Lonchura striata: one gene and its partners. The protein of the gene in region 3 purifies or fractionates together with the protein of the main gene of each other region. This does not show direct contact. Links are inferred from orthologs where the notes say so. Each region holds a gene or a part of one and is shown on either strand. Other genes may lie near its edges. The genes, in order: EWSR1, HNRNPU and PRMT8.

Region 1 (3,743 bases), on a different chromosome or scaffold from region 3:
GTGATTTGCTGGCAGGGATGGAAAATGAATCCACATGGCAATTAGGAGGCTAAATTTGAAAGGACTGCAGCTCCCAGTTCCCTCAGAGGCAGCAACAGCTCCAGCTCCCAACCCAAGGTCCGGAGCACGGATGAATTCATCATTCCCAGCAGACCTGGCCAGAGACCCCAGCTCTGCCAGGAGCACAGAAGGTGCTCAGGAGATCAGGAATGAGCCCAGAACCTCCTGGTGGAGGCCACAGCCAGAAGCTGCATCAGTGGAGCTGCTCCCAACCATCCCTGTGCGGGAAGAGTTTCCACTGCTCCCATCACCATCACACCTTGGCCAGAAATCCAAGTTTCTCCCAAGAATCATGGAATATCCCCAAGTGGGAGAGACCCACACGGATCATGCTCAACTCCTGCACTGGAGAACTTGAGGAAGCAAATTTTGCCTGGCTTTAATGCCATTATCCCACAATTCCCAAGGCATGGAGCCCCAGGAATCACTTGGAAAACACAGCTTCCATCCAGCACAACCTCCTGTTCCCCAGCCTGTGCATCCATCCCTACTAAACCCTTCCTGCCCAGCCTCCAGGGGTGCTCCCAGCTTCTCCTCCTGCTCCCTGGGCAGGAGCAGAGCCCCTGGATCCCTGCTGGAGGCAGGAACAGGGATCCCAGCAGGAATCCTTGGCAGTTGTCCATTCCTTTGACCTTGCCCAGAACACCTCACACGGGGAAAGAAGACACTTGGAGTTCTCCAAAGCTTTCCCTGCTCCCAGGACACAAGGCACAAGTTGTTAAACTCCCCTGGCAGCATTCCCACTTCCCTCTCAGGTTGGCAAGTGGGATACTGGAACATTTTCCTTGTTCAGTTCAGGGTTCTGGGTTTGTTTGTTTTTTTTTTTCATTCACTTTACATGTGGTTCTGCTAAATCCTGAGTGTTAATTAATGCCTGGTCCCCCTCATCCAGCTTCCCTTTCCCTACCACTCCACTTTTTTCCCTGCTCACCCTCCAGCCACCAAAACCTCATTTAATTTGTTTTTAGCCCATTTTGGCCTCGAGCTCCACGCAGGGGTATCAATTAACCCCTCTCCTCACAGCCCTCCCCCAGTCCCACCTAAACCCAACATTTTCCCCTCTGCAGGATTTAATTCCAGGTGTGGAATTTGCAGTTTGCCTGTGGTGATGCCTCTCTTTTAATTTGCTGGGATTTAGAGGAACATGGAACATTAATAAAAAATAATATTATGGTTCATTTAGTTAAACCCATCTCCTGGCTTTTATTTCCAGGGGGAAATTAATCTTCTTCCTTTTATTTCACAAGGCTCAGAAGCACACCAGAGGCTGAAAATAGCAGCTCCCAGGAGGAACAATTCCATGAATTAAGGGAAAACACAGCTGTGGTTTTAACCCCCATCCTGACAATTCCACTGGCAGATGTTCCTTTACTGACTTTTCTTTTTCAAGCTCCCCAAGGTGCTGTTGGTGATATTCCCTCACACTCCATGGCCTGGGAGATTTTCCTTGCTGGAAAAAAGGAAAATCCTCATTTCTTTTAAAGGGAGTCAAATCCTGCTGGGATTTAAAGTACTTTAAGGTGTACTGAGCTGGAGAGTCTCAGTCTCCAACTATTTGTATCCAGCTGGAGCCCTCGTGGAAAAACGTTTCATTCAGAAAAATGTGGAGCCATGGAGATGGTGGAACATCTTATCTCCCTGTGGGGAAAAGTTGGCAGAGGAGAAGGCTCCAGGGAGAGCTCAAAGCCCCTTCCAGGGCATAAAGGAGCTCCAGGAGAGCTGGAGAGGGGCTGGGGACAAGGGATGGAGGGACAGGACACAGGGAATGGCTCCCACTGCCAGAGGGGAGAGCTGGATGGGACTTTGGGCAGGAATTCCTGGCTGGGAGGTGCTGGAGCGGAGATCCCAGAGGATGCTCCGTGCCCGGCGGTGCCGCGGGCCGGGCTGGGAGCCCGCAGGGGCAGCGGGAGGTGTCGCTGCCCCCGGGATGGCTCCGGCTCCCTTCCCACCCGCGGCGCTCCGCCGTCCCGCATCGCAGCCAGAGCCGCCCGGCAGGGCCGGAGCGAGCCCCGCTCGGCCTCGGCTGCTGCGAGCGCGGGGCCCCGGCGATCCGGCGGCACCGAGCGGCCGCAAGAGCCGCAGCGGACACTGAGGGGAAACACCCGCGGCCCCGGCGCGGCCCGGGCGGGCGGACCGCTGGGACACGGGCGGGACGGGCCCTGCACGGCCCGACCCCAGCGGCCCCCCGGGCGCGGCGCCGCGGGCCGGCGGCGCCGTCCCAGCGCCCCTCCGGCCGCTCCGCGGCGGGGGCGGCGGCGCTGCCGGGGGTCCCGTCCCGCCCCGCCGCCCGCCCCGGGCCCGGCCCGCCCCGGCCCCGCTCACCCGTCGACGCCATTTTCTCGCCTTCCTCCTCCGCGCTGCCCGCCCGGCCCCGCCCCGCGCCGCGCATGCGCCGCCCGGCCCCGCCGCGCGCACCACCCCGCGCCCGGGGGGCGCCGCCGGCAGATCGCGCCCCGGGGGCTCGGCCCGCCCCGCTCCGCCGCCCGCCCGCCGCTGCTGCCGTCCGCGGGGAACCGGGACGGCCCCGCCGGCAGCGGCCGCCGCTCCGGTTTGCGGCTCCGCCGCCTCGCTGCGCGCTTCCCCCCCCCGCCGGGCGGAGGGATGGTACGGCCCGCGGCCGTTAGGGACCGTCGCGCAAGAGGCGCTCGGGCCGCGAGGCGGAGCGGGGAGCGCGGCGGGGGCGTGACGTCACGGCCGGCGTAGTGATGTCATTGCGGCGTGGCGGGGCTGCCGTGACGTCACGCGCCGTGCCGCGGGGGGGGCCTGGCGGCGCCTCCTGGCCGTGAGGTCGGTCACTCGGTGTCACCGGCCGGCGGCTGGCGCCACGGGCTGTGTGCGACCTCGCCAGGTGCCGAGAAGTGGCAGGGCGGGTGCTCGTTGGGGTGCCCGTGCTGTGGTTGGCATTGCACGCTGCCCACGTGGCGAGCGTGGCAGAGTGACGTCACCGCGTGTCATCGCTGCATGACGTCATCATGTCCCATGAGGACATGAGGGGGTACCGCGTGTCCTGCGTGTACTGGGGGTGACCCGGGCTGTGGTGGCACAGCTGGGTGTCCCATGGGTGGTGGGATGCGGGTGGGTGTCCCGGGGCTGATGTTGCATGGATTGGTGTCACATCGCGGGTGGGTGTCCCATGGCACAGCCATGTGTCCCCTGGGTGTCCCTGAACTCCATTCCATCCCATGGATCCCATCCCATCCCATCCAATCCCATCCCATCCCATCCAATCCCATCCCAAGGATCCCATCCCGTCCCATCTCATGGATCCCATCCCACCCCATGGATCCCATGGATCCCATCCCCTAGATCCTATCCCATCCCATTCCATCCCATCCCAATCCATCCCATCCCATAGGTCTCACCCCATGGATCTCATAGATCATATCCCATCCCATCCCATTCCATCCCATTGATCCCATCCCATAGATCCTATCCCATCCCATGGATCCCATCCCATGGATCCCATCCCATCCCATCCCATCCCATTCCATCCCATGGGTCACATCTTATCCCAGGAATCCCATCCCATCCCATAGATCCCATCCCACAGATCCCATCCCATGGATCCCATCCCATCCCATCCCAAGGATCCCATCCCGTCCCATCCCATGGATCCCATCCCACCCCATGGATCCCATGGATCCCATCCCATAGATCCTATCCCATCCCATCCCATCCCATCC
Region 2 (3,743 bases), on a different chromosome or scaffold from region 3:
TACTTCAAGATCAAGTTTTCTAATATTGCACTGAGTCCTTATACTTACCCTCAAGAATACAAATGTCAACTCTGCCATAATAATGTTACAGTAATAATGTTTATAATCTGCCTCAAAAACAACCCTGTTTGCAGATAGTTCTCCATTTATATGCTCTGTAGACTAAGTCTCTCTGCCATCCCACTTGCACAAACCACCACGCAAAGCCACACATTCACACGTTACATGAATGGCTCATTTCTGAGGAAGCATTACTAGATTTTGTTAAATTGATCAGAAGACAGAAGAAACACTCCACTAGTCAGTATCTAAATAAGGGAATGTATGCAGGAAGCTCACTTCCCAAACTGTGCTTTGTAAACACTTATGCTACTCTCTGAGCTTTCTGGGCAACAGTGCTGGACAGCTGTTTCATCAACCTGTCTCCAGAGTGTTCTATGTGCACTCTACACTTACTCACCTAAACTTCCATACCAGATTAGTGTTTTGGTTAAGATTTCTTCACAGAACTGTCTATCACTACAGAATTGAAAGAAAACCAAGTTTATTACTGCTAACATACTCAGGTCCTTCTGTTGTTTTCTTTGCTGAAAATGGGTGGAAACAGAGTATTTTTCTAATTTTTTTAAAAAAGTTACCTGGTAATGAAAATCAACAAATGTTATCCTCCCCGTCTCAGAAAGCGTGGCATTAAGAGTAAAAGCCTCAACACCACATCTTTCCAGGGTAAAGGAAAGCATGTTTACTCACAAGTATCAAGACAAACCACTGTGTCATCAAAATGTTCATCTTCTTCTTCAACAGGTGGTTGAGGAGACTTGGCCCTGAAAAAACAAAACCAAACAAAACAGAATAAGTTACACGTATTTTCACTAAGCTAAAATAACATTTCTGTACTCTATGCCTCCTCATCACAAAATGTGCCCAGTACCAATTCTGTTTACCTGCTGTACTTGTTTTCCTCAATGTATTCAAAGTATCCCCGGCCATGGTCTTCACGTGGTCTCTTCACTCCCCTCTTCTTCTCACCAGGCTTTTGCTCTGTTTTACCATCTCCTAGAACAGAAGCAATGATTTATTTTGATTAGTTTAATTTGGATTAGAATCTATATCATGGCTTCAACTTTGCAAGCTGCAGCAAGCTACAGCATAAGATAAGCAGTAACATCTTAAAAGGGCATTTTACTATGTTACTAAGGTAAAGCCCTGTATGTTGAATTTTCACGGGAAGACTCAAAACTTGTCGCCAATCAGAAATTATTTAGCATACGGAAGTCGCCAATACACCACACAGCAGCGAGTACGGCCCTCAATGTTATGAGCCCCATTGAAACAGCCCCGAAAAAAAAAAAAAAAAAAAGAAATCCCCACCAAAATGATTAAAAAAAACCAAAAAAATCTCCTGAGCCACCGCGCCTCCAGACCCGCAACACCATCACCACCCGCCCACCACGGAGGCAGCGGGTCACTGCCAGCCTCTCGCAAGGGCACCGTGCGATCCGCACGACTGCGCCTCCTCCCGGCGGGCCGCGGGCGGCAGCCCCAGGGAAGGGATTCCTCCTCCCGCCTCCATTGTACCGCCAGGCCTTCCCAGCGCCATCCCGAGCGGCGGCGGCGCCCAGCCCGGAAGTGACGTCAGGCGCCCCGCGCTGCGGGCGCACAATGCACAGCGCGCCCCAGCGGCCCCTCCGCCGCCCCTCCTCCCCGCCCCTCCCCCGCCGGGCCAGCACGAGGCGCGGGGCCGCCAACGTCCTCCCGCGCGCGCCCCGGAAACCGCCGCCCCCAACCCCCCCCGGCCCAACAACCCCCGTCATGGCGGGGGGATGGGATTAATGGCCCCCACCCCGCTTCCCGCCGCCTCGCTCACTCACCCCCGACGCCCTGCGCCCCGGGGCGGCCGCCTCCGCCGCCGCCTTCCGCTTTCTTCTGCTGCTGCTGCTGCTTGGCGGGGCCCGCCGGGCCAGAGGCAGCGGCGGGCCCCGAGGCGCCCCCAGCGCTCTTGCCGGGAGCCTCCTTGGCGGCAGCGGCGCCGCGCGGCGGGAGGAGCGGAGGGGGCTGCTGCGGCTGCTGGGGCTGCGGCGGCTGCTGGTCACCGTGGCCGTTGGCGTCCCCGGCCGCGGCCTCCTCCTCGTCGGCCAACTCGTCCTCCCCCTCTTGAAAACCCTGGTCGTCGCCGTTCTCATCATCCTCCTCCTCTTCCTCCTCCTCCTCGCCGCCCGCCTCCTCCTCCATGGGGCCGCCCCCGGCCCCTGCCCGCTCGCCGTTCTCCTCGCCCAACTCCATGGCGTCGCCATCGGCGGCCTCCAGCCCTTCCTCGTCGTCGTCCTCCATGGCGGAGGCCGCGGCCTGGCCGGGGCCCCCCCCCTGGCGGAGCTGCGCGGCGCCCCCGCCGCTCTCGGCCGCCTCCCCCTCCACGCTGCCGTTGCCGGGCTCGGCCGCGCCGCTGGCGGGGCCGCCCCCGCCGGCCTCCTCCTGATCTAGCGCGGCCTGGAGCCGCTCCATGAGCTCAGCCTTGAGGCCCTTGTCGGAGAGGCGCCGCTTTTTCAGCTCCTCTTTCAGCTCCGACACCTTCAGCTTCTTTACGTTCACGGGAGAGCAGCTCATGGCGGCGGCAGCAGTGGCGGCTCGGTCCCTGGGCGGCGCGCGGGCGGCGGCGAGCAGGGACAGACGGGCGGCTCTGGCTCTGCCTGCGGTGTGTCGGTGCCCCGGCGGGCGGTGGGTGCGGGCGGGAGGCGCGGGGGGTTCGTGCGGCTGCGGGAGCTGCGGAGCCGGACCCGCCTGGCGCCAAATCCTTTCACCGCGAGCTCGCGAGGGAGACGCGCCTCACGGGGCCGCGCACGCACCGGCGCCGCGCGCGCCGTCCCGCCCCCGCGCACGTAGGCCCTCCCGCGCTACCGTAACGACCGCATTACCGTAAATACCGCCCGAGCGCTGCATGCCCCGCCGCCCTTGTCCCGGCGGGTCCCTTGGCGGTGGCGGATCGGCTGTAACACCGCTCCGGCACGATGAACCCGCTCCGGGCTGAGAACCACCCCCGTGCCGGCTCCCGCCCGCGTGAGGCCACAGCCCGACCGAAATGCCCCCCACGAGGGGCCCGCGTTCCAGCCACAGCCTCGCAGAGCCTTGTCCCGATTCCGCTGGCTCCCCTGCGCCCTGGTCGGGCCTAGTCTCGCACGGTTTATTGCTTACAGGCTTTAAAAAGGGACACTGCTGCTCCAAATAGTTCCCCTGGCACAGGCCTGCTACAGCAGTTACATAAGGGCAGGAGCGGGGCTACCCCGTGCCCGCAGCACCGGGAGGCAGGCGCGGGGCTGAGCCGTGACCGGAGCCGGCGGTAACAAAGGCATGAACTAATCTGGAGCTCGGCACAGGGCTAATCTGCTCACCAAAACTGCGCAGCTTTCCCTCTTTTCTCCCCCCTGCCTCTCCCTCTGCACAGCGTTCATATGGGGCTCTCCACAGCCGCTCACGTTGTACAGTCGTTTAATTTTGGATTTTTCCAATTCGCTCAAAAGTAACATGAAAACAAAGAGTGGAGAGGATTTCATACAAACAGAATGGTAGCACGGATCTGCAAGTCGGCTTCCTTAGGGAACCCGGATAAAAAGCTAATTTTCAATTGCAGGAAAAGGAATACAAGTCAAATCACCAGAGGATCAGTATGAAGAGCAACAAAAGGGAGTGTGTTTACCACGAATTTGCCTTGTGTTGGTACAGATTGCGTGGCCTCCTGAACCAGAGCA
Region 3 (3,743 bases):
TAATTCATATACTCTATTTCCAGTCCCCCACCCCCAGGAATATTTCTGCCTCCCGAGTGCCCAGGGACCTCCTGGGTTTTGGCAGTACTTCAAGGTATGTCAGTATTCCAGAGGTCAGATGAGGATAAACTCTAATTGAAAGGTATTAAAATAGTCTGCAAGAGACAAAAATTCAAAACCCCAAATCTATCAAAATTTTTTACTGATGAAGCATCTGGGCTGGCCATGTCCTTAAAATATGCATCAAAAGTAATCTTTCAAACCTCTTCTTCAGGTCTCCATTGGCACCCCCAGAGGAAATAATTTCAAACTGTTCAGAGAGCAGCAATCCTGTTCTGGTCCTTGAAATCCTTCGAGCAACACACACCCACACAGCAGCATTATTTTCTCACCTCCTCCGTATAAAAACAAAACAGAAACGTGAGAACAGTGGGCTGGAGATGGAGCTGCGGAAAGTGAAGTTGGAAGGATTAATTATGTAATACGCCCCCTCTCCCGCCCTTACCCGCAGCAACACGAGTGAGGTAAACCCAATCCTCCCAGCTGACAACTCAGAACTAGAAAGTGCCCGGAGGAGTGAAAGCAAAATAAACGTGTGGGGAAGGTGGCGATGCACTCCTACAGAGGAAGATGTCATTAGGAAAAGGCTAAAAACAAGTTCAAATCACCTTTAGCCTCTTCCCTCCCCTCCCCAGCAAGACCTCTCCCTCCGCCTCTTCCCCTCTCCTCCCCCCAGCTCCTCCTCCCCCCTTTTCAGCAGGAGCTGCAGCCGGATCGGGACTATATCCCTACAGTTCACGGCTCTCTGACGGAGCGTGGATCCTCCTGAAAAACTTCAAGTAAAACAGGAGCTGGGAGAACACACACACGAAGATATATTAAGAAAGCAGGTTTGCTACTTAACTCGGAGGAAAGAAGCTGGAGCAGACTTCTTCGGTTGCTCTCTAAGAGCCTTGCCGAGAGTCCTTGCAAAGAAAAGTGTTGCTGATTCAAAAGAAGAGGAGGGATGGGGAAGAGAAAAAAAAAATTGTGCATGTCTGTGTGAGAGAGAGACAACGTGTGTGTGCGTACGTGTGAATGCGTGCTTGTGTGTGAGAGGGTGTAGGCGACGGGTGGGGGGAGCTTGAAATTATGTATTTTTTTTCCCTACGAAAGACACGTGAATGCAATTCCCAGTGAGGGGCACCAAGCTCTGCCCAAGAGCAGAAGGGGTAGGGAGAGGGAAAGGGAGAAGAGAAGGAAGGGAAGGGGAGAGGGGGGGAGGAGGGAGGGAGAAGGAGGAGGAGAAGGGATTTCTATTTCAGAAGACATTCATAGAAAGAGGGTGGCAAATTCTGTGACCGTCTTTAAAGGAAGTGTCCTGGGACATAGAGAGAAAGAAAGAAGCCCAAAGAAGGAAAATAAAGGGCTATGATTTCCTTGTCCTGTTGCTTTGTCTCTGGCTCCCTCTGCCTCTGGAAGAGTAGCCACAGGACACAAAGATGCCCAGCTGGTCACTGCACGCCCAAGTTCAGTTTAGCTGGTGCTTCTCTCCTGTTTAGCCTGACTGCTTTCTCTGAAGGGGAGGACTCATAGCCCGACAGCCTTTTAGTTTAACCTGAAGAGTGTGTGCCGCCTCTCTCTGCCCACCCCAAGAACTCGCTGGAGGTGGAGGAGAGGGGAGAAAGAGGAGGACTTGAAAGTGCCTGAGGAGCTCCCGATGCTAAGAGGAGACAAACATTCCTGTGGACGACGAAGAAAGGACAAAGCTGACTGATTTATTGCTGTTTTCCATATTTTTTTTTTCTCCCTGTCCTTTGGCGCACACCAGTGTTTGGAGATCTTTGAAAACACAAACCAAAACACCAGCCCCGAAGCCCCAACCCCTTGGCTAGCTCTTATGGGAATGAAACACTCCTCCCGCTGCCTGCTCCTAAGGAGGAAAATGGCGGAGAACGCTGCCGACAGCACCGAGGTGAGTAAGGATGCGAGCCGGAGCCGGCGCCGCGCTCCCCCAGAGCCGAGCTCTGATCCCTCGGCAGAAGCAGCGGGAAGTGCAGAACAACTTTCCCGGCCCCTCCGGCCAGCTCCTGCCTGCCGTGCTGCTATGGTTTCCTGCATTCGCCCCCCCTCTCCCCCCGATCCCTCCGTTCCCCGTGGGCAGAGAAGTTTGCCCGCGCCGAGCCCTCCAGGCGCTCGGGGCTGCTCCGCGGCCGCTTCCCGGGAAGTTGCGCGGCCGCGCGGCGCGGAGGCTCCGCGGGGCTGGGGGCAGCGGGGACGGGCGGCGGCGGTTCGGGTGTTGGGCGCGCCGAAAGGGACGGACCGTCCCTTGCGGCAGCACCTTGGCCAGCTCCCCGCGCTTTCCGCCGGCAGCCTTGGCCGGGATCGTTCGGGGCCACTTTAGGAGCATCCGCGTCTCTGCAGCATCCTGGATATTACCAGAGCGGAGCTGCCCGAGGTGGGGGCTGTCCGGCTGGCCTGGGCAGTGCCGAAAATAGCTCTGCACTGCCTTCAGGCCGGGAGGGTAGCCTGCGAGGTCTCAGGTTTTCTGCAAGAAATCCACCCCCCACCGCCGCTCCCCCACCCGTTACCTTCCGCTTCCTCAACACTGGGGTTGAGCAGCCCCTGTTTACTTGTCTGGGGCTGTCTTGACCTCACTGAGACTTCTCGGGGGATACAGCAGTGTGCGAAGTCTCAGGTCTGGAAAAGCAGAAGGATGCAGGATGCAGTCCCAGCATCTCTGCGAGCATGTGAGAAGGAGACAGGCGAAAGTGCGAGCGTGTGCCAAACTCCCTGTTTCTATTTATAGGCTGTGCCTAGCACTCTGACTGAACACTTAACACATGCTTAAGCAAGATGCAGCACAGACCTGTACAGACCCCATGGACGTGCACCCCAAGCAACTTTACAGCTTTGCCTTGCAGGGACAGCACTGAACCTTCTCTCCAGTTACCCTGCAGAGGGAATAAAGAGCAAAACCTATTGTGAACACATGACTATTTCATTCTTTCTTTTTTCCACATCTCTGCCCAATGTCTCCTTCTCTCAGTTATTCCTCCCAGTAGGTGTCCTGCTCGCTCATGAATTCCATCCACATTTCTCTTCACAATAGTGTTCTCTCTGCTTGACCTTCATGAATATGCCTCCTTTGCCATGCCAGGTGAAGAGCCAAATTTTCTTAAATGAATGTGATGTAAGCACTAAATCAAAGAACATGCCTGCTACTGCGCTACAACCCCATAGAGTACTGCTTGCAGAAGAGGCATCTATAAATAGAAAGAAGTCTGGCTGCACATCTGTAAACTGTTGTAGACCTGACAGCACATATTGCATTATAGGTCCCAGGATCCCAGGACAGGATTGCAACAAAAAATGTACAAGCACAGACAGCTCCTTTTAAAGCTGTTTTTGTCTATGGAAATTGTTTTTAGACAGGGAAAATAGGTGAAAAGAGCTCTTTAAATATTCCTCTTCTATTTCATTCACTCTTAGCACATTTTTGTTGTTTAATCATGTTTTCCTGCTTGTGCAATGCTGCACAAACTGCAATGTTATTTTATGGAGAAGGTCTTTTTTAACAAAAACAGATTTATTCCAATGTTGCATACAGGTTAGGAGGATATTAACATGCTGTGCTTCATCTCCTCAGAGTATCCATCAGTGACAGACTTGTGAAATGAGAGTGAAAATATTGCAGATTAGGCATATCCTGCTCCACTTCTACCTTCAGAAAATCAGAAGGGATACATTTGTAACCCCTGCAT

Evidence for each region.
Region 1: the proteins of PRMT8 (region 3) and EWSR1 purify together in Homo sapiens (affinity purification with mass spectrometry; 3 studies listed by BioGRID and IntAct, counting the BioPlex papers as one, with this or other methods). This does not show direct contact. The link is inferred for Lonchura striata from reciprocal best matches to the Homo sapiens genes PRMT8 and EWSR1.
Region 2: the proteins of PRMT8 (region 3) and HNRNPU purify together in Homo sapiens (affinity purification with mass spectrometry; 3 studies listed by BioGRID and IntAct, counting the BioPlex papers as one, with this or other methods). This does not show direct contact. The link is inferred for Lonchura striata from reciprocal best matches to the Homo sapiens genes PRMT8 and HNRNPU.

Annotation. Positions count from the first base shown.
Region 1 is NC_134620.1:3,038,040-3,041,782, forward strand, and holds the start of EWSR1 (RNA-binding protein EWS), read right to left. Parts: upstream 2,444-3,743; 5' UTR 2,396-2,443; coding exon 2,383-2,395; intron 1-2,382. UniProt on the Homo sapiens protein: Binds to ssRNA containing the consensus sequence 5'-AGGUAA-3'. Might normally function as a transcriptional repressor. EWS-fusion-proteins (EFPS) may play a role in the tumorigenic process.
Region 2 is NC_134605.1:31,754,401-31,758,143, forward strand, and holds the start of HNRNPU (heterogeneous nuclear ribonucleoprotein U), read right to left. Parts: upstream 2,843-3,743; 5' UTR 2,605-2,842; coding exon 1,872-2,604; intron 1,057-1,871; coding exon 945-1,056; intron 825-944; coding exon 751-824; intron 1-750. UniProt on the Homo sapiens protein: DNA- and RNA-binding protein involved in several cellular processes such as nuclear chromatin organization, telomere-length regulation, transcription, mRNA alternative splicing and stability, Xist-mediated transcriptional silencing and mitotic cell progression.
Region 3 is NC_134604.1:30,643,213-30,646,955, forward strand, and holds the start of PRMT8 (protein arginine N-methyltransferase 8), read left to right. Parts: upstream 1-1,141; 5' UTR 1,142-1,163; coding exon 1,164-1,211; intron 1,212-1,810; coding exon 1,811-1,954; intron 1,955-2,570; exon of another isoform or gene 2,571-2,767; intron 2,768-3,743. UniProt on the Homo sapiens protein: S-adenosyl-L-methionine-dependent and membrane-associated arginine methyltransferase that can both catalyze the formation of omega-N monomethylarginine (MMA) and asymmetrical dimethylarginine (aDMA) in proteins such as NIFK, myelin basic protein, histone H4, H2A and H2A/H2B dimer.